7 linked regions of the Ovis aries genome follow. The protein of the gene in region 4 interacts with the protein of the main gene of each other region in a pairwise test. Links are inferred from orthologs where the notes say so. Each region holds a gene or a part of one and is shown on either strand. Other genes may lie near its edges. The genes, in order: DDR1, CTSB, WDR74, RGS2, NIPSNAP1, PRKN and LRFN1.

Region 1 (4,017 bases), on a different chromosome or scaffold from region 4:
CTGCCCCTCTCCTGGGTTCCCACAGCCCCTTCCAGCTCTGACTATAGCACGGGTCAGGGTGTCTTCTGTGATTCTGTACATATACAAGCACACACACATATACATATATAAATACATATTTTACACATGTATATACTTGCCTGGCTCCCCTTCTAGACTGTAAATGCCCAGAGGATGCAGAGGGGGTTGTATTCCTCAATGTATCCTTCGCAGTTCTTACTGTCAGAACCCTGCCCTGCACAAACCTTTCATAACTGTAGGATGAATTGGCAGGTGGGACTCAGGGACCCAAGTGACCCATAAGAAAAGACACAGATGGAGATTCTGTTAGTGGGGTTTTGATGGTTGTCTCCATCAGTGGAGCCTGTATGCCATCCCACATTATCATCTCAGCAGACCCCGGGATCGGGTACTTAATGCCATCTTTCTGATGAGGAGACTGAGAGGCTGTAGGACTCAGCCAGAGGAGCTAGATGGCAGATGGCGGATGGCAGTTTCGATCCTTGCTTCTCAGCAGCAAAGCCTGGCTCTCTCTCCTTCCCTTTTGGTACTTTGCTTCCTCTCACGTGAGACCTTGTCACTGTTCCCTCCTGGCTCCACTCCCTCCAGGCCTAATCGGGCCCCTTTGGCTTTGGGGAGCATATTTTATAAGTCAAGAATCAGAGTACATGTTGACTGACGTTGCTGTTTATACTTCAAAGATGACCGGTCAGAATATCTGAAAGTGGGCTTGTTCTTGAAAACTTGAGTGTGCCTATAGGGCCTGGGTGCTTCTTATGCTTTGGTGTAACTGGCGGGAGCCACTCACCGTATAATACTTTGGGGGTAGCCAACTAGGATGCTGGTATTCTTGTTCTCCCCAGAAGGGAAGAGAGAATTCCTGAGGGAAGGAAATGAATTGCTAGGGACCCAGAAGGAGGCCTCGGAAGGACCACTGTTAATCTCTTCTCCCACCTCCTGTCCGTTTGTCCTCCTGGATTCTCCCCGCTCAGCAGGACCTAATGCCTGTTGCCTCTCAGCCTCAGGCTGCTGCTGCTGCTTTCTCCCTCACTGCCTCGCGGCCTCCCTTCGCCTCCCTTTGTCTGGGGTCTTTGTCTGTGGTCCCTGCGGTCCACAGTCCTCGGCCTCCCCTCCCTTTCTCCCTGGCCTGGCTGCTCCCTCCCTCTCTGCGGGGGCTGGGAGGCTCGGCGAGGGGAGCGGGCTGCGTTGCCATGGTCACATCGAAGCCGGCCGCAGCTGGCCCGGGCAGCTGCTCCTGGGGCTCCGGATGGGCGGACAAAGCCAGGCGGCCTTGGCAGCCCCAGAGCCGGAACCCCAAAGCCCTGAGACGGGGGGGACTGCAACCCAGGAGAACCTTGAGCTGGAGGTGAGAGGGAGGAAGCCAGAGCCCAACCGGGAGGGCAGGAGGGGGACTGCCGCTGGGCCCTCCCCTCTCAGGGAGGGACCGGGTGGTCCAGGCTGGAGGTGTGGTGGGAGGAGGGGAGTGCAGCCGAGCCCACGGGGTGGGGAGGAGGGAAAGGATGGGGAACAGAGTTGGGGCCGAGGTGTGGCAGATGGGCTAGGGCTAGGCTGTTTCCAAGGGGAGTTCTGGGACCCTCGTGCCCTGACACCCGGAGGCAGATTCACTTCAACCTTTGGAATTGGGGCCCCTGTCCCCCTAGTCTGTCCCTTAGTTTTCCCTTCCCATTTCAGCCCCTTACTCTTCTCTTCTCCCAGGTCCCTTCCTTTCAATCCCTATGCTTCGGTCTTCCTCTTCTCCCATCTCTGGATTCCAGCCGCCTCTTTTCCCCTTGGTGTATCTGCTCCCCTTTTGAGGAGGAGATACTCTTCTCTGTCCTCCTCTCTGAGCATCCCTCCCACCCTTTCCTGCCTCCACTCCAGTTCTCTCGCTTGCCCAGCCCTTCTCCCCAAACTCTGGTCTTCCCATCTTCTGCTGAGCGCCCTCTGTCTTCATTCTCCCTTTCTCTCTCCGATCCCCAGTTCCCCTCTACCGCAGCCTAGTTTATCCCCTGCTCTCAGAACTCTCTTGCCGGGGCCTCGTCTCTCTCCATCCCCCAGGCTGCCCACAGCTGAGCTCTGTCCCATCTTCCTCCCTGTGCTACATCATCTCTTCCTCCTCCTCTCAGGCCTCAGTTTCCCAAGTGGACTTGGTGGCATCAAGGCCTGTCTCACACTCCGGGCCTTCTCCACCCCCTCACCCTGCCCCCCCACCCCCCAGAGGATTCTCTCCCCAGCTGCTGACCCAGCCTGCTTGTCCCAGAGGCAGCTGCCTCTCCCAGGAAGGGGACAGCAACTTGTGTGGAGGGCCCATCCTCTCTCTCACTGGTCCTGCTGGGCTTCCCTGTAGTGGCCCGGTGGTCTGCAGGCTGGAGCTGCTCTCCCCTACGTGCTTCGCCTCACATTTTCCCCAGCTGTTCCTCCTCTTTCCTGGGCAGCAGGAAGCCATTGGCTTGAAGGGGAGGGAAGCCCGGAATGGAAGGACGTGGAGGGAGGAGGGGTAGAGGGTCCTCTGGGGGCTCAGGAGGACATGGGGGCCTACTGGAGTTGGGAGTGATTCGGGAGATGTGGGCGGGCTCTGGGGACCACCGACCGCTGTGTGGATACACTAGGTGTGTGGATACACTCAGTCCTGGGTACTACTCTGGGGGCCTGGATGGCAGGGACTTCCCTCTCTGGCCCCTGAGAGTCTCGGCTCAGAGCCTTGCATTCCAGCCGGCTCCAGCCCCCTCTCCGCTGTCACTTGACTCCACTGGGCCCCAGTCCTGCATCCCTCCCACTCCTCTAGCTCTGGGCTGGGATGAGGTGGGCATCACCAACTAGGAATGTCTCCTGGGGACAAGAGGGAGCAAGGGTTTCAGGAGTCTATGGTTTCTTTGACTCTCTGCAGTGGACTCCTCGGTCTGGCACCGCCATGCCACCTGGCCAGGGTCAGCGTGCGCCTGGGGTGTGGAATGTCCCACTGGGGTGTGAGGGGCTGTGACTCCTTCCCTGAGGGATCTGGCGGCAGCTCAGCCCGGCTGCCCGCCCGGGGCTTCCCGGGAACAACAGCCCCGGGAAGGAGGGGCCGAGAGTCCACCCAGGTGAGGTTACTCGGGAAACCTTGGCCCCACCCCCGGCGGGCCCCACCCCCGGCCCGGCCTCTCCGGGCCCAGATTCCCCTGCGGCCGACTCTGGAGGGGGAAGGTACGCCGGGGAACCCTGGGGCTTTGGTGGGAGGGGACAGAGAGGCAATTCTACGGGGCGGTCTGTTAGTGAGTCCCTTAGCAGTTGGGGTTCCCGAAGGTTTGTGGGTTGACCCGGGGTTGGAGTACGTGCCCATGTGTGCCTTCCCCTCTCCCAAGGGCCCATCTCTACCTGGTAGTGCCCTTGTGTACTTATCCAGGACGTCGTGTTTCTTTCTTGGGACTGTTGTCTGGGTCTGCACGTAGGGTGAGTTTCTGTCTACTTGCTCTGAGGTGCAATGGGGCAGAGATCTGCAGTGGCGTGAGGCCCTACCCTACCCTGCAGGTGATTGGCAGGTGTGGGGGGTGGAGAGAGGTGGTGGGCCCCCGGTAGCCCCTGAGCGGGGTGGAACACCTCCCCGCACAGCTCTTCTGTCCTGCCCACCTCACCCAGCAGCTCTCTGCTCTTTCTCTCACTGGATCTGTTTACTCAGTCTCTTGGCACCCAGCTTCTCGGTACCGCTCCTTTTTGACTGTGTGATTTTCTCTTTGCCTCCCTGTCCTCCTCCTCACCCCCGCTGCTCACCTGTCCAGGCCCGTCCTTGCCAGCGATCAGACCTTCTGACCCAGGGTCAGAGCTGCCTGGGCCTGAGGGGGCCCTATCCTGAGGAGGACGCTGAGGCTTTGAGCAGGTAGCCAGGGGAAACAGGGCCTCGGAGTCTGGACGCTAGGGTCCTTGAGAGAGACTGGGAAGGGCCTTGCTGGCTTGTGGGGAGGAACTGGAAGGTGGAAGTCGAGGAACGGGCTGGGAGAGGTGGAGCTGGTCCTCAGGCTGGGCTGGGGTGTAGGGGACCGG
Region 2 (3,949 bases), on a different chromosome or scaffold from region 4:
GGTTGTCATCCGCATTAGATCATCAGTGGATTCACGGAGCAGGGTGGGACTTGACCCCTCCACCCAAACATCTCCATCAGGCTCTCCAGGCATCCCCACCCTGAAGTAAACTCCAGATATAACATTGTGCTTGCTATGTACATCCTCTTTGGGACAGGCCACCTGGCACCCCTTCTTCGAAATGGATTTTTGCCTGTCATGCCTTTACAGAAATTCTGATGCACCTCTTGAAATTAGTATTCCGTGGTAATAACTCAGGCTTCCCTGGAAGCTCAGCTGGTAAAGAATCCGTCTGCAGTGCAGGAGACCCTGGCTGGATTCCCGAGTAAGATCCCCTGGAGAAGGGATATGCTACCCACTCCAGTATTCTTGGGCTTCCCTGGTGGCTCAGGCGGTAAATAAGAATCCACCTGTTAACGTGAGACACCTGGGTTCGATCCCTGGGTTGGAAAGATCCCCTGGAGGAGGGCATGGCAACCCACACCAGTATTCTTGTTGGGCTTCCCTGGTTGCTCAGATGGTAAAGAACCCGCCTGCAATGCGGGGGACATGGGTTTGATCTCAGGGTTGGGAAGATTCCCTGGAGAAGGGAACCAGCTACCCACTCCAGTACTCTTGCCTGGAGAATTCCATGAACAGAGGACTACTTTAAAAAAAAAAAAATTCTCACATATCTGATAGGGACATTCTATTAAAGCTAACAGCCTTTTAAGGCTCTTCTGGGAAGCCTGCTGGTTCGCTGCCCCCATCTCTGGCAGTGGTTTCTAGATCAATGAAATAAGGAAAAACTATCCTCTTCCCACAAGTAGGGATCGAGGCTTTGATACGCTGCGTCCTGTCCAGGGCGGCCCCGGGGAATTTCGCCAGGCGGGGTGAGGCCCCGAGGGCCGCCTGCAGTCCCCTTCTTCTCTGCAAGGGTCCCAGTGCGCCGGGGGTAGACAGGAGGAACTCAGAAACCCTGCTCCCGGGCGCCCCGACGAGCCGGTGCCTGGAGATACGCCGGGTATAAGCAGAGCCCCAGCGAAGCTGGGCGCGGGAGGACACGTGACGCTCCAGTAGGGGCGGGGAGTGTGTGGTCACGTGACGAGTCAGCCGGGCACGGGGCGGGGCCCGGCGCTGTACTTAGCTCGGGGGCGGCTGCGGGCAGCTACGGCGGCTGCTCAGGCACCAGCGTCAGCGGCTCCCCGGACACTCAGGGTGCAGGCCCAGGCCCTCGGCGGCGGCGGCGGCGGCGGAGCGCGGTGAGTGCGGGCGGGCGAGGGGATGCCGAAGCCGGCGTCCCGGGCCGTTGGAAGCGGGGACCCTCGGGGAGTCGCAGCCAGGCGAACCGAGCGGCATCGCGCCCTCCCGGACGTGGTTGTGATGAAAAAAGCAAGCTCTGCGCGCGGGCTGCCGGGCTGCACTGCCGGTCCGGGAAGCTCGTGCCCCGTCTCGGGTGCTGTTCGGACCCCGGGCCGGGTCACCCGACCCCACGGTCCGCCGTCTCCAGAGCTGGAGGCGGGGAGTTTGCCGGCGGACCCGAGGGAGGAGTCTGAGAGGAAGAGCTTGGCCTGGATCCCCGCTGACTTTGGAAAACCTCAGCCTGACTCCCCAGCCCCGTGTGAGCTTCTGTTCCTCGGTTTTCTTAGAAGATCGCTGAATTGATAGGAAATACTATCAACATCTGTCTTAGTTGTTTTCTTTCTGTAAATGATTTTCCTGGGCAACTTTCTGCACACAGTCACACAGTTCCAGGCACCCCAAAAGACAGGAGCTGGGAAACAGGGACCTGGAACTGGGTGGAACGGGGTGGGACCTACAGGAAGAGTTAAATCCACAGATGGAGGGAGGAGAAGCTAAGCAGAGGGAGGACAGGGGGCTTTAGGGCCCGGGGTGCCAGCCTCTTCCCTGGGAGTGTGAGGGGAGTGGAATGGCGGCCCCAGCCCTGCACTGCTAAGGAAGGGAGTCAGGCTTGGGCCCAGGGTGCTGTGGGAGCGGGGATGCAGGGCAGAGTCCCTGGGGCATCGCCTGCCCCTCCGCTGATGACTCTGGAGGTCTGGGAGAGGGAGCATTGTGAGGTGACTGAATCTGGGAGTCAGCCAGGCCGTTCTGGTAGATGTGAATTGGATTTGCTTGCTTTATGGGCCTTGGTCTACCCCTTCCCCAGGCACTGAGGAAGCCAATAGGCAGACACAGAGAGAAGGATAGGCCCCATATCCCTCTGAGACCCATACCCAGTTGGAGGGGCATGGGGTTCAAAGGGAGACCTAGCCCCTTTGGTTACCTTGGAAAAACAACCCTTCAGGCGCCTTCACTAGGGGCATAGCTGCCAAGGTACATCCATCCAGTTGAATCTTTAGATGCAGGGTGATAAGACAAAGAGCCTTAGCGGTGTGTCTGGATTGGTTAAAGGCTACTTTCCTTTTCTTCTCTCATAACGTTGTTAACTTCATGGAAGATTGTTTCCTGTTGGCGCTGGTAATGGTAACCCTTAAGCTTTGTGGAGAAACAGGTTGGGCTGCCCCACTCTGTGGCTTTCCCAAAGAAGGTGCCCTGGATTCACTCAAATCTCTTAGGGGCATCTGTCCTAGAGCTGGGGTGCTGCCAAGTGGAAAGGTGCAGATCCCTTATCTGGGGGTTTCACAGGCCCAGGGGGAGGCAACTTGGACCAGACGAGAGCCCTGATTCCAATTACCTCTGCTGCCGCTGGGTCAGGACAGCCCTTTTTCGGAAGGTGGAAGCCCTTTGTCTTCAGGAGGCACCTGCCTGTGTGTTGCTGACTCAGCAGCTTGAGCCGAGGCCCTCCTTATGGACTGGCTGTTTCCCCAACTGCTGGCCTTGGGAGTTGGGAGTAGGAAGTTGCATGCCTTTTAGGGCTTAAGATTTCTTTTGTTTCCACTGGCAGCTGCATTGGGGAGTGAAGGAAGAGTGCTTTCAGGTGAACCTGGGAAAGTTGGTTGGGTGGTTTTCTTAAATGTGGTGATGAGTTGTGATTGTGTTGAATATCCCCGTCCTTGGGAGAGAAGGACTGAAATGTTTCGGGATGAGAACCCACAATGTCTGTTTGTTTTTGACAGTTTGGCAGAAGGCAAGTATTGGAAATATGAGAGGTTGAACTGTATGAAATGGTGATTTTTTGTAGGTCAAGGAGCATTGAGATCGGGCACCTTGATAGAGTTCAGGCTCGGGTGTAGGGTGGTCGGGGTTGACAGCAGGTTGATGGATCTAGCTAAGCAACATGCAGGTGTTTGTTGGACTCACTGGGTATTAGGAGGCAGTTGTCACTCTGCCCCTGGTCCTGGGTCTTCATTTTTCTTGGTTTACACTCAGTGCCCTGGGTCTTCATCTTTCTTGGTTAACACTTAGGGCCCACTCCAGAGCTGCTTAAGCCAGGTGCTTGAGAAATGACTCCTGAGTCCCTCCATGGCTGATATGTTTACCTTCTACCCTAGTTTGGGTAGGAGGGGGATCTAGGGATCAAACATCATATAAATATTTGGCTTCAGTCTCTTTTTAAAGCCCAAGCCTCATCCCCACCTGCTTTCTGCCCTACCCACAGCTTCCTTGTCTCAGCCTTGTGTGTTTGGGTGGGGAGGAGGGTGGGTGGTGGAGTCAGGGCCTTCCCTCCTGGTCACAGGCCCCCTCTGCAGGCAGCAACTTTCAGCTTCTTTTCTGCAAGTCTGTGTCTAGTTCCTAAGGGACATTGTAACTCCTATCTGCTTTCTCCTCTCTGTCTCTCTTTTTTTTTTTTGATGTGGACCATTTTTAAAGTCTTTATTGAGTGTGTTACAACATTGCTTCTGTTTTATGCTTTGGCTTTTGGGCCACTTAGGTATGTGGGATCTTAGCTCCCCAACCAGCCAAGAATCTCAGATCCCTACCGCCTTGCATTGGAAGGCAAAGTCTTAATCACTGGACTGCCAGGAATGTCCCTGCTCTTCTCTTTCTAATTTTCCTGCGTGACTTTTTT
Region 3 (4,008 bases), on a different chromosome or scaffold from region 4:
AGAGTCGCCAAAGCCGTCGGGTCCGACTTAGCAACTAAATAACTACAATTTTAAAAATAGTGACGTGCACATATTAGAGAAGTTATTTGCCGTAGGGAAGATATTGAGTAGTGCTTCAGTTCAGTTCCGTCGCTCAGTCGTGTCCGACTCTTTGCGACCCTATGAATCGCAGCATGCCAGGCCTCCCTGTCCATCACCAACTCCTGGAGTTCACTCAGACTCACGTCTATCGAGTCAGTGCTTATTACACCTCTTTATAACGGGTAAGTTTCCTGATCTAGTTCCCTCTACTTGAAAACTGTAGGTGTGCACCGGGCCTTACAGCGAGGAAGACTTTCGAGCAGAGAAATAAATGGTTGAACGTCTCATAAAGGGAAATCATAGTATTTCAGGGAAAGAGATCGTTCAGATTTACTTTAGGGTCTGTGAGGGGCAGTAATGGTGGTTGTGGTGTGTTTCCGCATGGCTTGCCTAGAATGTTAAGCTCCGGAACTTATTGGCAGTTCTCCAACTAAGGTGGTATTCAAGATTGTTTCTCTGTGGAGGACAGATCTGCCAGGCAAGAGTGGGATGCTCTATGCTTACTGATATAATTTCAAGTAGCAAAGTTTCTGAGACTTTTATTTCAGACAAGTCATTCAAAGAAGGGGGCCGTTATGAGATTTTAAAGTTGGAGCTTATCTTTGGAAAAACTGTTTCTTTTAATTTTGTAGATCTTCATTGCCCATGGTGCTGTTTTATACCATCAGCAAATCTCAATGTGAGGAAATAAAAGTAACGCCCCTACCCTTCACTTTCCAAAAGTGAAGCTCATCGGTTTCATTTCCCCCAACTTTGTTCATTTTGTCCTATTACGCTTTAAGTTGAAGCCATGCGCTTCATTAGTGATTTGAATCGTTCCTTAAATGAGCTCTTTTCTTCTCTTGTACAGAAAACATACATTGCTTTAGAGCAGAGGAACAGACTAGGGCTGCCTGGATCCCATATCGTGGTTGAGATAGTATGCCTTCTACTCCAAATGTAAAATGGTCAAGTTACTGTTCAGATCTCCACAAACAAGTCTCCAGATTTCATTTTTGTAAAAAGCAAAACCAGCTAGCGGGGAGAATATGTTTTACTCTTCCGGTTCTTTAAAGGCCTAGAAATGGAGTTCCTCCGGATCCGACTAGACGCAGACTGGTGACGCAGGCGTTGCGCCGGAAGTGGGAGCCTTGGGTTCCCGAGCTCCGCTATGGCGGCTGCGGCTGCACCGTGGAACCATGTGTGGGTTGGCACCGACACTGGCATCCTGAAAGGTGGGTAGCGAGGTCGGGCGTCGGGAACTGCGGGCTTCGCCGTTTCGCTATTCTGACTCAACTGACGTCCGTGTCCCGCAGGAGTGAACCTTCAGCGCAAACAGGCGGCGAACTTCACGGCGTCAGGACAGCCCCGGCGCGAAGAGGCGGTGAGCGCCCTGTGTTGGGGTGCGGATGGCGAGACACAGGTGAGCGACCGCTGAGAGTCGGAGCTGGGAGTCTGGGGCGCGGCCGCCTCGCTCTCCTCGCCATCCTGTGCTCCTCTGCCCGCAGATCCTAGTGGGCTGTGCCGATGGGACAGTGAAGCACTTCAGCACCGAGGAAGGCAGGTTCCAGGGCCAGAGGCAATGTCCTGGAGGGGAGGGCACGTTCCGAGGCCTCGCCCAGGTCGACGGGTAAGACCAAACCCCTTGCAGAAACGCTCAGGTCGTAGCGAGAGCGTTGAGGCTCCCACTGGACGACCGAGTAGTGGCAATCAATCCTGAGGTGACATGAACCTGGTCTGCGTGACAGGGACGTTTTTCCTGCCTTCGTCCGTTCTTTCCTATAACAAACATTTATGGAACACTTATTCGGTTGTTTATAGGCACTGGGCAAAATCCAAAGGCTTAGGTAAACCACAGTATCTGCCATCATAGAGTTCGCTACTTCCAGAGTTTTGTTTTTTGGCATAATAACCTTTTGGATGACCCTGAGCACGTTATTTAATAGTTTGAAAGTAAAAGTGTTAGTCGCTCAGTCGTGTCCCACTCTTTGCAGCCCGCTGGACTCCTCTGTCTGGGGTTTTCCAGGCAAGAATACTGGAGCGAATTGCCATTTCCTTCTCCAGCGAATCTTCCCCAGTTTCCGGCACTGCAGGATACCACCTGCAGTGCAGGAGATTCTTTACCAACTGAGCCACTAGGGAAGTTTAGAATATGTTTTTAAATGCGGGCTAACAACCACTAACAAAGTGGCAAAGCTCCTAAAGAATAAGAAATGCTGGGTTGCAGGCTTAGTTTTCTTCTGAAGGTGAAGAGAGAGGCTATGAGCTGACTGTAGGTTTGGTGAGGTTAATTCTGACAGGTGAGTCTGGAAGGCTGGAGCGGGGGAGGAGGAATATTTGAACTTGGCCTTGAAGGTTGGGTAGAATTTTGACAGATGGAGAAAGGAGTAAGGGCATTCTAGAAGGAGGCTCCTGCTTGAGCAGAGGCCAAGGATTGGTGTGAGGCTACAGGGCACATCACAGGGAAGATAAACAGCATTTGGGGGTTAAAGAGAAGACTCTTGAGAGTCCCTTGGACTGCAAAGAGATCAAACCAGTCAGTCTTAAAGGAAATCAGTCCTGAATATGCATTACTCCAGTACTTTGGCCACCTGATACAAAGAACTGCTGGAAAAGATTGAAAGCAGGAGAAGAGAATGACAGAGGATGAGATGGTTGGATGGCATCACCAGTTCGATGGACAGGAGTTTGGGCAAGCTCCAGGAGTTGGTGATGGTCAGGGAAACCTCAAGTGCTGCAGTCAATGGGGTCGCAAAAAGTCAGACACAACTGAGCGACTAAACTGAACTGGGGGTTGAAGCCCAGGAAACTTTTTTTTCCCCCTTTTTAAAAATTTATGAGGAAGCATTTTAATATAAGATGAACGAGGTAAGTTGGGATTTAAGGCAAAGTGCTTTTAAGTGTCAGGTTGAGCAATCTGCGGTTTTGTAGGTAATGAGGCATGATTGGTTTCTGAGCAGGAAACACTGTGTTCAGAGCTGTGAGCCTGCAGGAACGTGGAGATGGATTGGAGACTGTTGCCACAGCCCAGGAAAACCCAGAGCCTGAACCTAGTTGTGGAGGGTGGGCAGATATGAGAAAAAGCAGAGGGCTTGGGCTGTACAGATCCTGGGGAGAGATTGGCTTGTCTGGTCTGACACCCAGAACAGGGAACTTGAGAGAGGAAGCTGGTGTTTGATTCTGACCAAACACTAAATCCAGAGCAGTCCCAATTCAGTGCTTTCAGAGCTCTGACTCCTGGTGACCACATCAAGAAAAACCAGCAGGGCCATGTGCCCCAGGTGGAGCTGTGGAATAGCAAAGACTTTGCAGTATCACAGTCTTGATTGCAGCTCTGATTCTGACATTTATAGCTAAGTGGCAAATCTTATAATTTTTTGTAGCTTCACTTTCCTTACTTATAAGACCAGTAAACCATTAGCTTGACGAGAAATTAAATAACAGCCATCAAGCCCCGCCCAGACCTGAGTTACCTGGAGGCTTCCTTAGGAACAGGGCTGGTAGGAGGGAGTCTAGTTCATATGAATTTGGGGGTGGGTCGACTGGGGACAGAGAATGCCATTTACCCCTGCTCTTTTAACTCTATCCTCCCTTTGCCTGCAGCACCCTCATCACATGTGTGGATTCTGGGATTCTTCGAGTTTGGCCTGACCAGGACAAGGAGGCATCCTCTGACCCAGTGAGATCCCCCCTCATCCTGATCCTGATGGTTGGGGAAGGTGGGGCCCAGGGTAGAGCCAATGAAGGCTTTGGAGGAGGAGGATTAAGGATCTGGAAGTGACTCTCATCTCCGCTCTCTCATTCTTTTCAGCTCCTGGAACTGAGGGTGGGCCCTGGGGTATGTAGGATGCGCCAAGACCCAGCACGCCCCCACATCGTTGCCACAGGTGGGAAGGAGAATGCTCTGAAGGTGTGGGACCTGCAGGGGTCTGAGGAGCCTTTGTTCAG
Region 4 (3,989 bases):
GATGCTTCAGGAAAAACCACCTGAATATTCCACTGTACAATTCTAATAACGGTATTTGAACTCAAGTCATTTTGGAGTGGCAGTTATCTACTTACCCTTACCAATCAAACCACTTAAATCCTGCTACAGCAAGATGATTTCTGACGAATCAAGACATTAAGCTTATTCAAAGAAGCTGTAAACGCCTCCCTCCCTCCACCCCCATCTCTCTTTTTTTGCCAATTAAAGTGTTCTGGCAAATTCTAAGCCAACTAAGAGTGACTCAGGAGGAAATCCTGCATGCTTGCTCTTTTACACTAAAATGATTCTGGTGCACGATAGCTGCGAGCTCGTGGTGTTTCCTTGTTAAGAGCTGTGATTTCTTTTTTTGTTCTGGAAGGAGAAGCAGCCAAGGACTCCTGAGAAATAAGTCTGCAACCCCACGGACCGACCCAGCCACGAACCTGCTGGTAATCAAAACCGCACACCCAGTTAAAGCACTTTCTCCTCTTCCCTCCCTGACCAATGTGCATTCCCCACAGAGCTCCAGGATGCTTGGGCACGCTGCAGAACAGATCACACCACTGCCCCTGGACTCTCACTGTTCCTCCCATTCTGTTTCCTTCCCCAAATTAAAAGGCGTCTCAAAGAACAGGTGAGGGTCAGTTCTCACATCAAGAAAGGAGGCGCGGAGCGAGGGCTTGCGCTCCAAAAACACATCCCCTTTTAAACCTAATTCAAAATAAGGTTACTGCATTCGGCTTCCCAATAAACAACCTTTACCTGCTTGGAATCACGGCTCCTTTGGGGGTCAGGAGCTCTGGAGCGCGGGGGAGGGAATGAGACAGGGAAGAGGCGGGGAGCGAGCGCCCCCGCCGTGCCTGCAGCCAACCTGGCTCCCTGCCCGCCACGGCCCTGCGACCCCACGGCCGGCCGCCACGACTGGGCAAAGGTCGCCTTTGACCGTTCAAAAGGGAATTTTCTCTGACCCCACACGAGGGCGGGCGTCCGGCCCGACTGCGCACGACGCCCGGGAAGCGGACGTCAGCGGGCCCCGGGTTTCCAGACCCTTCGGCGGCGCCCGTGACCGCGCGGCCCGCGGCCGCCGTCGGCCAATCGGTGCCCGCCGGGGGAGGGACCGGCGCCGTGAGCCCCGCCTTCGCCCTGCCTCCAATTATATAAATACGGGTGCCGGCGGTCCGGTCTCCCCAGAGCGGCGTTCCCAGGTGGAGGGAGATAATGCAAAGTGCTATGTTCCTGGCTGTCCAGCACGACTGCGGACCCATGGACAAAGGCGCTGGCACCGGCCCCAAGAACGAGGAGAAGCGAGAGAAGATGAAGCGAACCCTGTGAGTGCGGCTTTCTTCCTCCCTGACTGGCCGCCCCTGCGGACCCAGCTGTCCCGGGCGGCTGCAAACGCGGTACACTCGCGCTGGGCATGGGAACTGGGTAGCCTGCCTGCATCTCTGCAGGAAAAAAAGAAAAAGAAAAAATGTGTGTGTGTGTGTAAAAGGTTAATTTGTGAAGTTACGTTTAAACCTGTGTGGTGTAGGTATTTATTGAAGGACTCGGGTAGAGTTTAGAAACTGCAGAAAATTCTTGATGCAGGGGCGGAGATAGATGCTGGTTGGCTTTTTGTCTCCCTGCATCGAAAATGACTTCGGAGAATCCTGCAGCCACGCGCCCCCGGCCTTCTTGAGAGGCACCGTAAATTCTGATCTGCTTACACGACTGCTGGGATGGAGATATTTTTGCTGATCCTAGATATACTTTTAATTTTTTTTAATTGAACAGCAAGTCTCACCCACTCAAGAGTGTGGAACAAATAATTGTTCTGCATCACCTTCTTAAAATGAGTGCTGAAGTTGGGGGAGGGGGCGGTCAATCTCGCACACACACTTCATTGTGCACAGCTTCTCGGGTGGTCCCAAGCCCCCTGCTCTGAGAGCAGAAGGAAAACGAGCCTGGGCTGGCTCAGGGCAGGTCCACTGTGGGCTTCCTCAAGTGTGAAATGTCTCAGAATTGTAATTAACCGTTGCAGAAAAACTGGCTGCCTTTTGTGGGCCAGAAATAGCATCTGCCTTTGAACTATGCAAACTAAATTCATTAAAATACCCTATAATTGTAGGTCGTCCTATCCTTACTTATAAAACTAATAATTATGTTCAGATGAGTGGATGAAACTAGTGTGTTGAGTACTTAGATGCTGGATTAAAGGAGTAAGACTGACTGGAGGAGTTGTTTTGTCTTATTTGGCTTGTCTATAGCTACTGGGGGCGACTTTATTTGGTAAAAATGCCTTCAGCTGCAATGGCAGTTTCAAGTGTTGCTGCTAAGTGAGTATCTTTTTTTTTTTTCTTTTGTAGATTAAAAGATTGGAAGAGCCGTTTGAGCTACTTCTTGCAAAATTCCTCCTCTCCTGGGAAGCCCAAAACTGGCAAGAAAAGCAAACAGCAAACCTTCATCAAGTAAGTTGAAAATCTTGTGCTTGCCAATATGCACAGCTCACTGCTGAGCTGAAGAGGGAACCTCTGGCTAGCAGGAGCTGATGTGCAGACTTCTTTTGCAGGCCTTCTCCCGAGGAAGCCCAGCTATGGTCAGAAGCATTTGATGAGCTGCTAGCCAGTAAATGTAAGTTAACCTCTTGAATTGGATCCATTTCAAGTATCAGGAGAGTATGGTTTGGTTGTGTCTACACAGCAAGAGCAGCTTGCCCAAGGAGAGTTTGACTTTACAATCCCTGTTCCATGGGGCCTATTTTTCTCCTTTATTTCCCGGTGATTAACCAGGGAAATGCGTGGCTTTTTCACTCTAGGTGGGGAGTGGGGGGAAATAGCCCCAGATTGTAATGGCAGTTGCTGTCTCTTAAGGTTGAGTCAGCTTTTCCATTGCAAACAATGTTTTCAAGCGGCTTCATTCCCAAAGAACTTATGGCTCCCCTATCAGTTGTGTTAACAGCAAAGCTAAGTTTATATTTTTGTAGTAGTGTGCCAACTCACGCATTTTGCTGACTGGCATCTTAGTCTTTAAAGAGCTAAATTTTGACAATTACAGGTTTGAGTAAACTCAAGAAAATTGCTGCCATCTGGCAATAATAAAATATGGGACCAGGGGAGTGGGATTTCTAGGAAAACACATAAGGGAATATTTGAACACTCAATGCAGTTTCTGCATGCTTTCTTCCTTCCCTCCCCCAGATGGTCTTGCTGCATTCAGGGCTTTTTTAAAATCTGAATACTGTGAAGAAAATATTGAATTCTGGCTGGCCTGTGAAGACTTCAAAAAAACCAAGTCACCCCAAAAGCTGTCCTCAAAAGCAAAGAAAATATATACTGACTTCATAGAAAAAGAAGCTCCAAAAGAGGTAAAGGGGGAAAAAGTTCCTTATTTCAGCATATTTTGAACATCCTCAGCACCAAAGTGAAAATAATTTAAAGAGACCTCAAGTTAAAGGGGGGTGGGTGAGTAGGCTGTTTTTCCCCTATTTCTGGCTCTCAGTGAGGTTAATTATATTTCTTCACTGACTTAGCCGGTGACACTGGCCACACATTATAGTTTGGGGGTTTTTTTGTTTGTTTTCAAATACTACATATATTTCAACTTCTGACTCTTAATGTGGAATAAAACTTTGTTGTTTTCTTTCAGATCAACATAGACTTTCAAACCAAAACTCTGATTGCCCAAAACATACAGGAAGCTACCAGTGGCTGCTTCACAACTGCCCAGAAAAGGGTGTACAGCTTGATGGAAAACAACTCTTACCCGCGTTTCTTGGAGTCAGAATTCTACCAGGACTTGTGTAAAAAGCCGCAGATCACCACAGAACCCCATGCCACATGAGATGAAAGCAGGAGCCCAGAAACGGAGGACTTTTCATTTTTTTTCCTAAAAGGGGAAAGGCTGTCACCTGCCAAAAAGACTGACCTTGAATTCAGCCTGGGTGTTCAGGAAACATCACTCAGAACTATTGATTCAGAGCTGGGTAGTGAATCAGGAAGCTGGTCGCCTCG
Region 5 (3,500 bases), on a different chromosome or scaffold from region 4:
CCTCGTGGGCCACCCCAAGGGCCGAGGGAGCCATCACAGACGTGAGCAGGGGAGGAAGTCCATGAGCACTGCGCAGAGAAGGACCCCTCTGGGCACCGCTGTGCGGGGGCGTGGAGGGCAGCCATCTGTGCTGGGGGTGGGCAGCTCACCTGCCTGGTCCTGCTCCCCGTACCACGTGTTCCAGTTGCCCACGAGCGAGCAGGGGTAGTCCTCATCCAGGTGCAGCTTGGGCAGCACGGCCTCCCTGTGCGTGGGGGGGCGTCACAGAGAAAGGGGAGGGCTCACACCAGCCCCCAGAGCTCCTGGGATAAGGCTTCCGACTCAGGCCCTCAGGACGCTAACATGCAGAGGCCGCACAGGACGTGTGGCTCTGAAACCTACAGCCCCCGGATTTGTGCACGGAGAACAGGGCCGGGACAGAGTCCCCCATCCAGGCGGGGCGGGGACGGGAGGGTTAGGCTCACTCACGTCAGGCTGTTGTAGGCGTCCAGACACTCAGGCTTCACATTGTGAACTGTGACAGAGGACAGAGAACGGGAGGTGAAGCGAGGGGAGGGGGTGTGGGAAGCTGGGATGGGGTAGCCCCCCAGGGCCTGGGCTCCCAGCACAGCTCAGATGTCCCAGACCCTCTTCAAGTCCCCAGCAGGAGCCTCGCAGGTCCCCGGGAAGGCAGGTCGGCTGACTCAGCAGCCACTCACACTGGATCTTATAGAGGTTGCTGGTCTCCTTCTTGGACAGCAGCGTGGAGTGGGCGTCCTTCCGGGGGTCCACCTTGTGTACGAAGAGGGACCGAAACCAGCTGCCTTCATTGTCCTTGGAATAGAAGCTGCGGGACAGAGGAGTTCAAGGGGCACCTGCTTCCGTCTGCCCAGACGCCGTGCTTCCCGAGGCTGGTGACCACTTTTCTGGGAATGGGGCCACAGAATCCCATGGCAGCTCCAGCGGATTTCATGTCACTGGAGCCAGCCACAGGGATCCTGGCTGCCCAGTTCGCTTCTTGAAACTCTGCAGAGCCTCAGGAGGCCACGAGAGGCAGCCCCACCTCCCGCCTCTCTCTCCAGCCTCCTTGCCTCCCCTTCACCCCCTTCCAAGAGGTCCAACACTTGGACCCTGCAACTGTATCCCTTGCCAAAAGGGTGAACCCCAAACACATCTGGCCTGGTGTCTAAAACCTGTGACAGCCCAACCTACGCTGGCAGCCTCCCCTCCGGTCCACCCCCGACCTGTACATCCTGCTCTCCAGGTGCGCCTCCCCCTGAACACACCAGATTCTTTCACTCTGCGCTTTCTTTGCAATTTCTGTCCCCTCTGACGAGAAGCCTGCACCCACGGTCCTCCCCAGTTCTCACACGACACCTGGCCCGTGCCTGATGCAGCCCCCACAAATGGAGCGCCTGAGACACACACGCTCTGTCTTTGAGGAGGTCTCAGTCCACTGAAAGAAGTGGACCTTGGAACACAGTTACAGCCAGAGGTCTCTGGGAGAGCCCAGATGAGTGAGCCTGATCTTGACCCCTGGAAGTCTGGGTGAGCTCTCCGATGGAGGTGATCTGGCCAGTTTCCAAATCTCCAGGGCTGATTTGGCAGATAAAGGCAGATAGAGGGGGTCAAAGGCATCAGAAGGCAAGATTCATTCATTCATTCAGCCAACACTTAATTGACAAATACCTGCCCTGTGCACGTGGCTGAATGAATAAATGACATGCCTTGTTCAGAGCAGGGGGACCAAGCACCAGGTCCTGCCAGATCATAACTGCACTCCCCCACACAACATCCCAGCCGGCTGGGGTTATGTTTGGGCTGCCAGAGGTGGTAAATCATTTTACTTAGCAGCAGCAGTGAGGCTTGTAGCCAGGCCTGAAATGCCAGCCTCCTGCTAGATGAGTTCCAGCCCAGGAGCCTGGCTGTGGGGGCCCCATCAGCAAGTTCTCTTCTTTTTCGAGCCTTTCCTATGGCTAGAATAAATGTCTTGCAAATCAAAGTATTGCTTTTCTCCAAAATCTGGATTGAGCACTGGGACTGATAAAATCTGAACAGCACCCTAAAAATGATGATATATTTGTATGAGCACAGAGGAAAGGTAAGTAAGGATTTGTTCCGAACTGTTTTTTTTTTTTGTTAGTTTGTTTGGTTTTGGCCACACCAGGAGGCCTGCAGGACCCTAGTTCCTTGACCAGGGAATGAGCCCGGGTCACAGCAGTGAAAACATCGAGTCCTAACTAGGCCACTGGGGAACTCTCAGCCCCACGCCGTTAATACTGCTTACCTGGGAGAGGGAAGAGGAAGATGGTTAAACTTTTCGTTATTCATGAAAATTTTTTGTAAAGCTAAAAAAAAAAAACAAACTTTTAAATATTTCTGAATTCATAGGCTTTCTACGGTTGTGTGTGTACTGCTTCATTAAAAGCAAAAAGGCACAAACTTCCCTGGTGGTCCAGTGGTTAAGACTCTGAACGTCCACTTCAGGGGGCTATAGTTTGATCCCTGGTCAGGGAACTAAGATCCCGCATACCATGCAGTCAAAAAAAAAAAAAATCTGAAAAAGAATATATATATAAAAAGTCATTATATATAAAAAGCCATTAAAAGTATATATATATATATATATATATAAATATATATAAATAAAGCCATATATATATAAAGCCATTCCTTTTCCCAGGGGATCTTCCTGACCCAGCGATTGAACCTGGGTCTCATGCATTGCAAGCAGATTCTTTACCATCTGAGCCACCAGGCAAACACTACACTTCAGTGTTTTAAAATTTTTAATTAAAAAAAAAAAAAAAGCAATTGTCATCAGATGGCCAATGCGGTCTGTGGAAACGGGACCAGAGCCTCACTATGGCTAACACTGGCTGAGGATAGCCTCTGCCAGGGACCCGTGATCAGCTTGTCAGTACCAGGATCCCGCTAAATCTACACAACGAGAATATAACGTTAATACTATTCATATCTCCATTTTCGAGACAAGAAAATAGAAGGTCATGGGTGGGAGGGTTAAGAAACTTGTCTGAGGTCACACAGCAAACGGGCAGAGAGCTCTGGAAAGAGCCTAGAGCTCTCTCCTCTAAAGCCAGCTCCCCCCTCAGGTCAGGTACCAACTGCGGGAACTAGCATCAGGGAGATACTCTAAAGAAGCAGGTGTTTTTTAGCAAAGCCACTGGTGGAAGGACCTGACCTTTGGTTTGAATGTAGAGAGGCTGTGTCCCCCAGAAGGGGTGGTGACCGAGAGGACAGCAACTCCTACTCTTTGTCAACCAAGACCTTTGCTCCAGGACTGGCCTTGAGTAATTTATTAACATCAGCATTGACCAAGATAAACAGCCAAGCGGCCAGCCCTGGAGAGAGAGCCTGGAACCTGGGTGCCAGGGAGTGTCCGGGAGCTCCCAACTCTTCCCACCTCCTCTTTCCTGCCTCCACATCTCGGTTTCCCCACGTGCCAAAAGAGCAGGGCGGCGCAGCCTATCTCCAAAGACCTTTTCTGCAGGTCCCAAGAA
Region 6 (3,500 bases), on a different chromosome or scaffold from region 4:
ACATGACGCCTTTGATTTTTTATTAAGGGGGATGCCGTAGAGGCAGTGTGAGTTTGTACAGGCTGTCAGAGCTGAATCTCCTGGATAAACTCTTGGGAATCTCACAATTCCAATCAAGCAAGTGTTCTGCTTGAGTCCCCCTGTTTCGCAGGACGATGTCAAAGGGAGCATGCAATTTTGTTTGTGGGTCACTGCCTAATATATGAAAGGGAAATCCCATAGGATAACTCCATTTTTCTCCAAATGTTGCTCCATAGCCTTAAGCTTTATAAGTGAAAGAAAATGCACACTGCTTATCAAAGGGCAGGAGAGGGGCAAATCAATTCAGAAATATTGCACTGCCATTAAGGATTGCCATTAAATGCAATTGCCATTTAAGGGTTTTGACTAAAGCTTCGTGTGTTGTTTTTTTTTTTTTTTGGTCCAGTGTTTGTCAGGTTCAACTCTAACCACGGGTTCCCAGTGGAGGTCGATTCTGACACCAGCATCTTCCAGCTCAAGGAGGTGGTTGCTAAGCGACAGGGGGTTCCAGCTGACCAGCTGTGTGTGATTTTCGCAGGGAAGGAGCTTCGGAATGGCTTGACAGTGCAGGTGAGTCTCCCTGGGCGGAGGGTTCCTGGGCTGCGGCCAGCCCCATTGCTTATGCCGCTTGCGCAGCCAAGCTGACATTCATGCCTGAGATCTAATAGAATAAATAGTGCCTAGGGATTCCTTGAACTTTACTCCACACCGCTTCATTAATTCTGACCTTCTTAATTATGCATTAAAACAGCAAGCAGGTACGGATTGGAGAACAACTGTGACTGGGAGAGAGAAGAGAGAGAGAGCGAGCACACAGACTGGGCTTAGTGAATAAATGTTTACTGACTAGAGGAGCAGCAAGGCACCGTTTCTGGGTCTGTTCAATTTCTACCGTACTTATTCCACTTGAATCTTAATGAAGGAGTCACAGAAATTGTCCCAGATCCGGCTGCTCAGTCACTGTGCCGGGAGGGATCTGCAACCCAATTGTGACCCCTGGAGGATGGTCCCGGGTCTGCCGCCGCAGCTCAGGATGGGAGGAGGTTTTGGGGCTCAGGGCCTTGGAGCAGATTCGCGAGCTCCCTGCCCATCAGCGCCCGAGGCGGCGGGGAGGAGGACGCACGCACCGCGAACGTCAACCTGTGTGTTTAATTTCTCCAAGTTTCAGTAACAAGTTCCCCAGAATGGGCCGCTGAAATGTTGGGGAGGGTGCAGCCAGTGTTTTACTCTCCTGTCCCTGACGCTTTCCTGGCACCGTGGGGCTCCTCATAGCATCACAGCGCTGTATCTTTTCATGGAGTGGGGGTGGGGCTTCATTCCCAGCTGGTATTTCCGCAGGGGAAGAGGTGAACTGGGCAGGCCATTGGGGAGCAGTGCCTTCCTCTGGGAGTGGAGACCAGTCTTGTGTTGGGGAAGCCAGCAAACAGGCCCCAATACGGATTGAAGTCACTCTCTGAGAAAGTATGAAAACCCACTTGCTTTCTGTGAACTGTTCAGGTGATCCTGAAGAACCCCAAACACATTCCCCGCGTCCCCCTTTTTTCACCAGCTCAGATGAGTTGCATTTCTGCCTGCAGCTGTTTGGGGGCCTGCTCTTGTGAACAGTGGTGGTGGTGGGGTGCTGTGTCTTTACCCAGTCCCTACTTTATTGACATCCTATGGCTGTCTCTTTTTGGTGATGATGTTTACTGCTTTAAGAAAGGCTTTCGGATCTGGGTGTAAGAGAGCCCTATGGAAATGTGAATTGCCCCCTCTTCTCCAGCACCCCTTCTCTGACAGCAGTCTGCTCTGCTCCGTGCACACAGGGTGCTGTGCTTTGCTTTTAGGCAATTTGTGTTTATAAGGGAAGCACCTGTGCTGAAAAGTGTTTTGGTGTTTTTTTTTTTTTTTTTTTTTTTTAAATTTCAGTCACCTAGAAAGCTTTTTTTTACTGTACCTGCCAAGCTCTAAAACCAAGGATGTTCCCATCATAAATTATTTTAAAACAGCTTCTTGAACCAAAATATTTTGTTATCCGAAGTTTTCAGGTTCTAAAGTTTCTCACCTCTACCGCTGGAGGTGATAGGTTATACCAATTACTATAGACAGTTGATTTCTACAGATGGATAGATACAAATATAGATATCTGGATGGGTTCATTAAGATTCTTGATTTTCACAACACTTCCAGTATTCTGGGCTTCTGAGAGGATCCCAAAGAAAGTCAGTACCCACTGCTATTTTCTTAGAGACTGCTGTTGACTTAGGCCCTCTAAAATCAACAGTAATACTAGATTGAACTACATAGGTTAAAAATATCAGCAGTTTCATGGGGCTCAAACTAATAGCTATAACATAAGGGTGTCAAACACGATAACTGCCATATAAAAACTGAAATATAAGTATTATGAAATTTTAAAGATGTAGGAGAAACAGCTGAGTGAATGTCACCAATAAAGACTTCAGGGTGAGTTGAAACTCAAGTAGGATTCTGGAGATGAAGAATGAGCGTGAGAGGTGTGTGGGAGCAAGCAAAGGGTCCTATTCCTGTAGAACCTAGAGGAGGTGCTGAAGGTGTGTGACAGGGGAATTGGGAGCTGTGTTTTAGAAAGCTTTGACCCATGTGACATTGACGTTTCATGCGAGGAGATGGAGAACAAAATAGGATGCCATGGAGGGAAAAGCGAGTCTGGAAATGCCGGTTCACCACTGGCGGGAGTTTCCCAGATTGCAAGAGTTAATGCCAGGGGGAGATGCTGGCAGGCAGTCACACTGAGGTGGGGAGCTCAGGGCTTGCTCTGAGCACTCTCTGCATGGAGGTAAGTACCGCAGTGACTGGAACAGATTCAGTTGCCGGGGTGCAGAGCGTACGGCACGAGCAGTTCCTCCGGTAACAGGAGAGGAGCCGATATACGAGGCATTGTGCATCCAGCTGGCATTTTCATGGATAATTTGGGGAAAGAAAATCACTAGTAAAGAATGTATGTGCCGTGAAAACATGGAGGACAAGGAAGCAAAGAGCCTTTGGGCTTGGTGACAGTGGTGGTGACTTAGGGGCTTTCGGGCCAGGACTGTAGCTGGAGAAAGTCAGCTTGCAGGGGTTCAGTGTGAATCGCGGGCTTTGTCACAGGCACAGCTCGTCTGGTCATGGAGGGAAGGAGAGACTGGGAGTTCATGGAGGAGCAGCAGCTTCCGCACTGTGTCCTGCCTTTCACAGCCCTTGACTGTGCGCATGGCTGACTTTGATACAGTTGTAATCGGTGTGAAAATGCAATTTTATGTAGTGAATTTCTTTCCCTGAACATTATGTCGAGAGAAGGCAATGGCACCCCACTCCAGTGCTCTTGCCTAGAAAATCCTGTGGATGGAGGAGCCTGGTAGGCTGCAGTCCATGGGGTCACTAAGAGTCAGACATGACTGAGCGACTTCACTTGCATTTTTCACTTTCCTGCATTGGAGAAGGAAATGGCAACCCACTCCAGTGTTCTTGCCTGGAGAATC
Region 7 (3,500 bases), on a different chromosome or scaffold from region 4:
CTACTCTAAGCATGTTACAGTGGATTATCTCATTTAATCCTCACAATAACCCTATGCTGTCATCCCCATTTGACAGATGAACACACTGAGGCCCAAAGGGAGGAAGTCACATGGCAGGGAATTGGGGTGTGAACCTGGGCAGTTGGGGGCCAGATTCTGTCCTGCAATGCCATGCTGCCTCTCCAGAAATGTTAGCTGTTTTTATTGTTAGTATTACACTGTTTCAACTTGAGTTCCACCCTCACTGCGGGCCTTCTGGTTTCATAGATAGTGGTTCTGAGCCCCAGAGAGCTTAGAGCCATGCAGGTGCAGAGCTGCGTCTCCTACTTCAGGAGCACCACCTCCCAGGCCAGGATTTCCTGTCGGGAGGTAGAGCAGTGTCCCAGAGGGAGTGCACAACATTAGTGGTGGTGGTGGGGGGGCGTCGCTCAGAGGTGAAGCGATGCTCTGACTTTGCCTCTTTTTCTTTTTTCAGCCGCATCACTGTCTTCTTCAGTCTCTTTCTTCTGGTCTTCGTCTGTGTAACACTCTTATTTTCTCTTCTTGTCTCTCCCTCTCTCCAACTCGTTGTCTCAGTCTCTCTTTTCTGTGTGGGTCTCCTCCACTCAATTTTTCTCCCTTTGCCACCGACTTGCTCCCTGTCTCTTCACCTGTCTTTCAGATTCTTTCTCTTGTCTCTTTCTGTCTCTCTCTGAATCCTTCTCTGTGTCTGCCAGTTCATCCCTCCCTCCCCCTTGTCTCTCTCTGACTCTCTTGGTCCCTTCTCTGTGTCCACAGTCCCCCTTTACCCGTGGGCTGAAGGATCAGGGCCATATGAGGCCACAGCCCCAAACTGCAGATTCCTGGGAGGTGGGCCAGCAGGGACTGGGGCATGGGGTGGGGTGAAAACAGTGTCAGGGACACCCCCTTCCCATCCTTTCCTCTTCACCCCCCACCCACCCCGTGTTGTGATGGGAGCTGGCATGTCGTGGGCTGCAGCTGCCGCAGGGGGAATCCCAGCCGGAAGGTTTTGCCTGGAGCAGAGGCACAGCCTGACTGTGTGTGTGTGTGTGTGTGTGTGTGTGTCTGTGTGTGTAGGCATGTATAGGGCCTTGTGTTGTGCCTATTAATGTGAGCATGAAAGTCTGCCCCCAGCTTGGGCCCTCAGCAGAGGCCAGAAGGAAACCAGGCTCAGAGAAGGACTTCCCAAGACTGAGCAGGGAGACTGGTATTTTCTCAGCCCCTCCCACCTTCAGTACAACCCCCATTCCCCACTGCCAAAGGTGTGTGTGGGGGTGTTACCCTTAACATTTATTGAATATGTACTGTGTGCTTGGCCCTATGCTCCGTGACCCCTATGAATGAGCTCACTGAACTCTTGCAACAATCCAGTGACAATAGTACAATTATCAGACCACTTTACAAATCAGGAAATTATGGCCTAGTTCGGGAAAATCATCAGTTTGGGTCACAGAGTTAGTAAGTTGGGGGAGCCAGGACTTGAACCCGAGTCTATTTGATTTGAAAGCCCTTGCTCTTAATAGTAGCGCACATTTATATGCATGGCACCTACTGGACGCTCAATGACGATGATGATAATAGTTACACACTAACATGTATTGAACACATTTTATGTGCCAGGCACTGTTCTGAGTATACCATGCTCATTAATCCAGTTCATCCTCACAGAGGTAAGGCCTGTTTTTGTCTCCGTTTTACAGATGAAGAAACCGAGATTCAGAGAGGTTCAGACACTTGCCCAAGATCACACAGCTAGTAAGTGTCAGAGCTGGGATTTAAACCCAGGGAGTATGGCTTTGAAATCCATGACTTTAAACCCCAGTCAGCAGTGATTTTTCAAAATATTTAGTGGGTACTAGAAGGCGCAGGCCAGGCCAGATGTCATCCCTCTGGTTGAGAGGTCATGAGAGGTCTGGGAGCTCCTGGAAGAGGGGCAGAGGCGGGGGTTAGACACTCAGAGGTGGGGCAGTGGTAATTTACCAAGCAGCGTGGAAGTGATGTGATCTGTTCACAAGTGCATGCCAGCTGAGGATCAGTCCTGTCACTGTCCTGCAGGACCCCGTTGTCAGGAAGGGACAGATGTGGGTCAGACTCCGAGCGGGACATCCCAGGGTGGCCAGGCAGGTGGTCAAGCCCTACGCCTGGCTGACCCTTCTCCTTCCTTGCAGATCTCACCTCCCGCTCCTCCCGCCTCCCCCCTGCACCATGGCTCCGGGCCCCTTCTCAGTGCTCCTCTCGCTGCCGCCTACTGCCCTGCCCTTTCTGCTGCTCCTCTGGGCAGGGGCATCACGGGGCCAGACCTGCCCTGGCCGCTGCATCTGCCAGAACGTGGCGCCCACGCTGACCATGCTGTGCGCCAAGACTGGCTTGCTCTTCGTGCCGCCCGCTATCGACCGGCGCGTGGTGGAGCTGCGGCTCACCGACAACTTTATCGCGGCCATCCGCCGCCGAGACTTCGCCAACATGACCAGCCTGGTGCACCTCACCCTCTCCCGGAACACCATTGGCCAGGTGGCGGCCGGCGCCTTTGCGGACCTGCGCGCCCTCCGCGCCCTGCACCTCGACAGCAACCGGCTGGCAGAGGTCCGAGGGGACCAGCTCCGGGGTTTGGGCAACCTCCGGCACCTGATCCTGGGCAACAACCAGATCCGCCGGGTGGAGTCGGCTGCTTTCGACGCCTTCCTGTCCACCGTGGAGGACCTGGATCTGTCCTACAACAACCTGGAGGCTCTGCCCTGGGAGGCTGTGGGCCAGATGGTGAACCTAAACACCCTCACCCTGGACCACAACCTCATCGATCACATCGCCGAAGGGACCTTTGTGCAGCTTCACAAACTGGTTCGCCTGGATATGACCTCCAACCGCCTGCATAAACTGCCCCCTGATGGGCTCTTCCTGAGGTCCCAAGGTCCGGGACCCAAGCCGCCCACACCGCTCACGGTCAGCTTCGGCGGCAACCCCCTGCACTGCAACTGTGAGCTGCTGTGGTTGCGGCGGCTGACCAGGGAGGACGACCTGGAGACGTGCGCCACGCCGGAGCATCTCACCGACCGCTACTTCTGGTCCATCCCCGAGGAGGAGTTTCTGTGTGAGCCTCCGCTGATCACGCGGCAGGCAGGCGGCCGGGCCCTGGTGGTGGAGGGCCAGGCCGTCAGCCTGCGGTGCCGCGCCGTGGGGGACCCTGAGCCTGTGGTGCACTGGGTGGCACCCGACGGGCGCCTGCTGGGGAACTCGAGCCGGACCCGGGTCCGGGGGGATGGGACCCTGGATGTAACCATCACCACCTTGCGGGACAGTGGCACCTTCACTTGCATCGCCTCTAACGCCGCCGGGGAAGCCACCGCACCCGTGGAGGTGTGCGTGGTGCCTCTGCCTCTGATGGCGCCCCCGCCTGCTGCCCCGCCACCTCTCACGGAGCCTGGCTCCTCGGACATCGCCACGCCTGGCCGACCTGGAGCCAATGAGTCGGCGGCTGAGCGCCGGCTTGTGGCGGCGGAGCT

The links.
Region 1: the proteins of RGS2 (region 4) and DDR1 interact in a two-hybrid assay, tested with the Homo sapiens proteins (2 studies listed by BioGRID and IntAct). The link is inferred for Ovis aries from reciprocal best matches to the Homo sapiens genes RGS2 and DDR1.
Region 2: the proteins of RGS2 (region 4) and CTSB interact in a two-hybrid assay, tested with the Homo sapiens proteins (2 studies listed by BioGRID and IntAct). The link is inferred for Ovis aries from reciprocal best matches to the Homo sapiens genes RGS2 and CTSB.
Region 3: the proteins of RGS2 (region 4) and WDR74 interact in a two-hybrid assay, tested with the Homo sapiens proteins (2 studies listed by BioGRID and IntAct). The link is inferred for Ovis aries from reciprocal best matches to the Homo sapiens genes RGS2 and WDR74.
Region 5: the proteins of RGS2 (region 4) and NIPSNAP1 interact in a two-hybrid assay, tested with the Homo sapiens proteins (2 studies listed by BioGRID and IntAct). The link is inferred for Ovis aries from reciprocal best matches to the Homo sapiens genes RGS2 and NIPSNAP1.
Region 6: the proteins of RGS2 (region 4) and PRKN interact in binary tests that used the Homo sapiens proteins (3 or more experiments, as listed by UniProt). The link is inferred for Ovis aries from reciprocal best matches to the Homo sapiens genes RGS2 and PRKN.
Region 7: the proteins of RGS2 (region 4) and LRFN1 interact in a two-hybrid assay, tested with the Homo sapiens proteins (2 studies listed by BioGRID and IntAct). The link is inferred for Ovis aries from reciprocal best matches to the Homo sapiens genes RGS2 and LRFN1.

What each region holds. Positions count from the first base shown.
Region 1 is NC_056073.1:27,303,902-27,307,918, reverse strand, and holds the start of DDR1 (epithelial discoidin domain-containing receptor 1), read left to right. Parts: upstream 1-1,217; 5' UTR 1,218-1,267; coding exon 1,268-1,366; intron 1,367-2,887; exon of another isoform or gene 2,888-3,080; intron 3,081-3,150; exon of another isoform or gene 3,151-3,507; intron 3,508-3,755; exon of another isoform or gene 3,756-4,017. UniProt on the Homo sapiens protein: Tyrosine kinase that functions as a cell surface receptor for fibrillar collagen and regulates cell attachment to the extracellular matrix, remodeling of the extracellular matrix, cell migration, differentiation, survival and cell proliferation.
Region 2 is NC_056055.1:105,603,799-105,607,747, reverse strand, and holds the start of CTSB (cathepsin B), read left to right. Parts: upstream 1-1,149; 5' UTR 1,150-1,241; exon of another isoform or gene 1,242-3,949. UniProt on the Homo sapiens protein: Thiol protease which is believed to participate in intracellular degradation and turnover of proteins. Cleaves matrix extracellular phosphoglycoprotein MEPE. Involved in the solubilization of cross-linked TG/thyroglobulin in the thyroid follicle lumen.
Region 3 is NC_056074.1:37,680,990-37,684,997, reverse strand, and holds the start of WDR74 (WD repeat-containing protein 74), read left to right. Parts: upstream 1-1,208; 5' UTR 1,209-1,231; coding exon 1,232-1,295; intron 1,296-1,376; coding exon 1,377-1,483; intron 1,484-1,568; coding exon 1,569-1,690; intron 1,691-3,663; coding exon 3,664-3,739; intron 3,740-3,871; coding exon 3,872-4,008. UniProt on the Homo sapiens protein: Regulatory protein of the MTREX-exosome complex involved in the synthesis of the 60S ribosomal subunit. Participates in an early cleavage of the pre-rRNA processing pathway in cooperation with NVL.
Region 4 is NC_056065.1:11,623,249-11,627,237, reverse strand, and holds the start of RGS2 (regulator of G-protein signaling 2), read left to right. Parts: upstream 1-1,189; 5' UTR 1,190-1,218; coding exon 1,219-1,328; intron 1,329-2,345; coding exon 2,346-2,447; intron 2,448-2,548; coding exon 2,549-2,610; intron 2,611-3,176; coding exon 3,177-3,343; intron 3,344-3,624; coding exon 3,625-3,819; 3' UTR 3,820-3,989. UniProt on the Homo sapiens protein: Regulates G protein-coupled receptor signaling cascades. Inhibits signal transduction by increasing the GTPase activity of G protein alpha subunits, thereby driving them into their inactive GDP-bound form.
Region 5 is NC_056070.1:68,751,973-68,755,472, forward strand, and holds part of NIPSNAP1 (protein NipSnap homolog 1), read right to left. Parts: intron 2,537-3,500; exon of another isoform or gene 2,328-2,536; coding exon 2,267-2,327; intron 827-2,266; coding exon 699-826; intron 515-698; coding exon 469-514; intron 245-468; coding exon 150-244; intron 1-149.
Region 6 is NC_056061.1:85,693,519-85,697,018, reverse strand, and holds part of PRKN (E3 ubiquitin-protein ligase parkin), read left to right. Parts: intron 1-427; coding exon 428-591; intron 592-3,500. UniProt on the Homo sapiens protein: Functions within a multiprotein E3 ubiquitin ligase complex, catalyzing the covalent attachment of ubiquitin moieties onto substrate proteins. Substrates include SYT11 and VDAC1.
Region 7 is NC_056067.1:48,380,103-48,383,602, reverse strand, and holds part of LRFN1 (leucine-rich repeat and fibronectin type III domain-containing protein 1), read left to right. Parts: intron 1-1,700; 5' UTR 1,701-1,755; intron 1,756-2,168; 5' UTR 2,169-2,205; coding exon 2,206-3,500. UniProt on the Homo sapiens protein: Promotes neurite outgrowth in hippocampal neurons. Involved in the regulation and maintenance of excitatory synapses. Induces the clustering of excitatory postsynaptic proteins, including DLG4, DLGAP1, GRIA1 and GRIN1.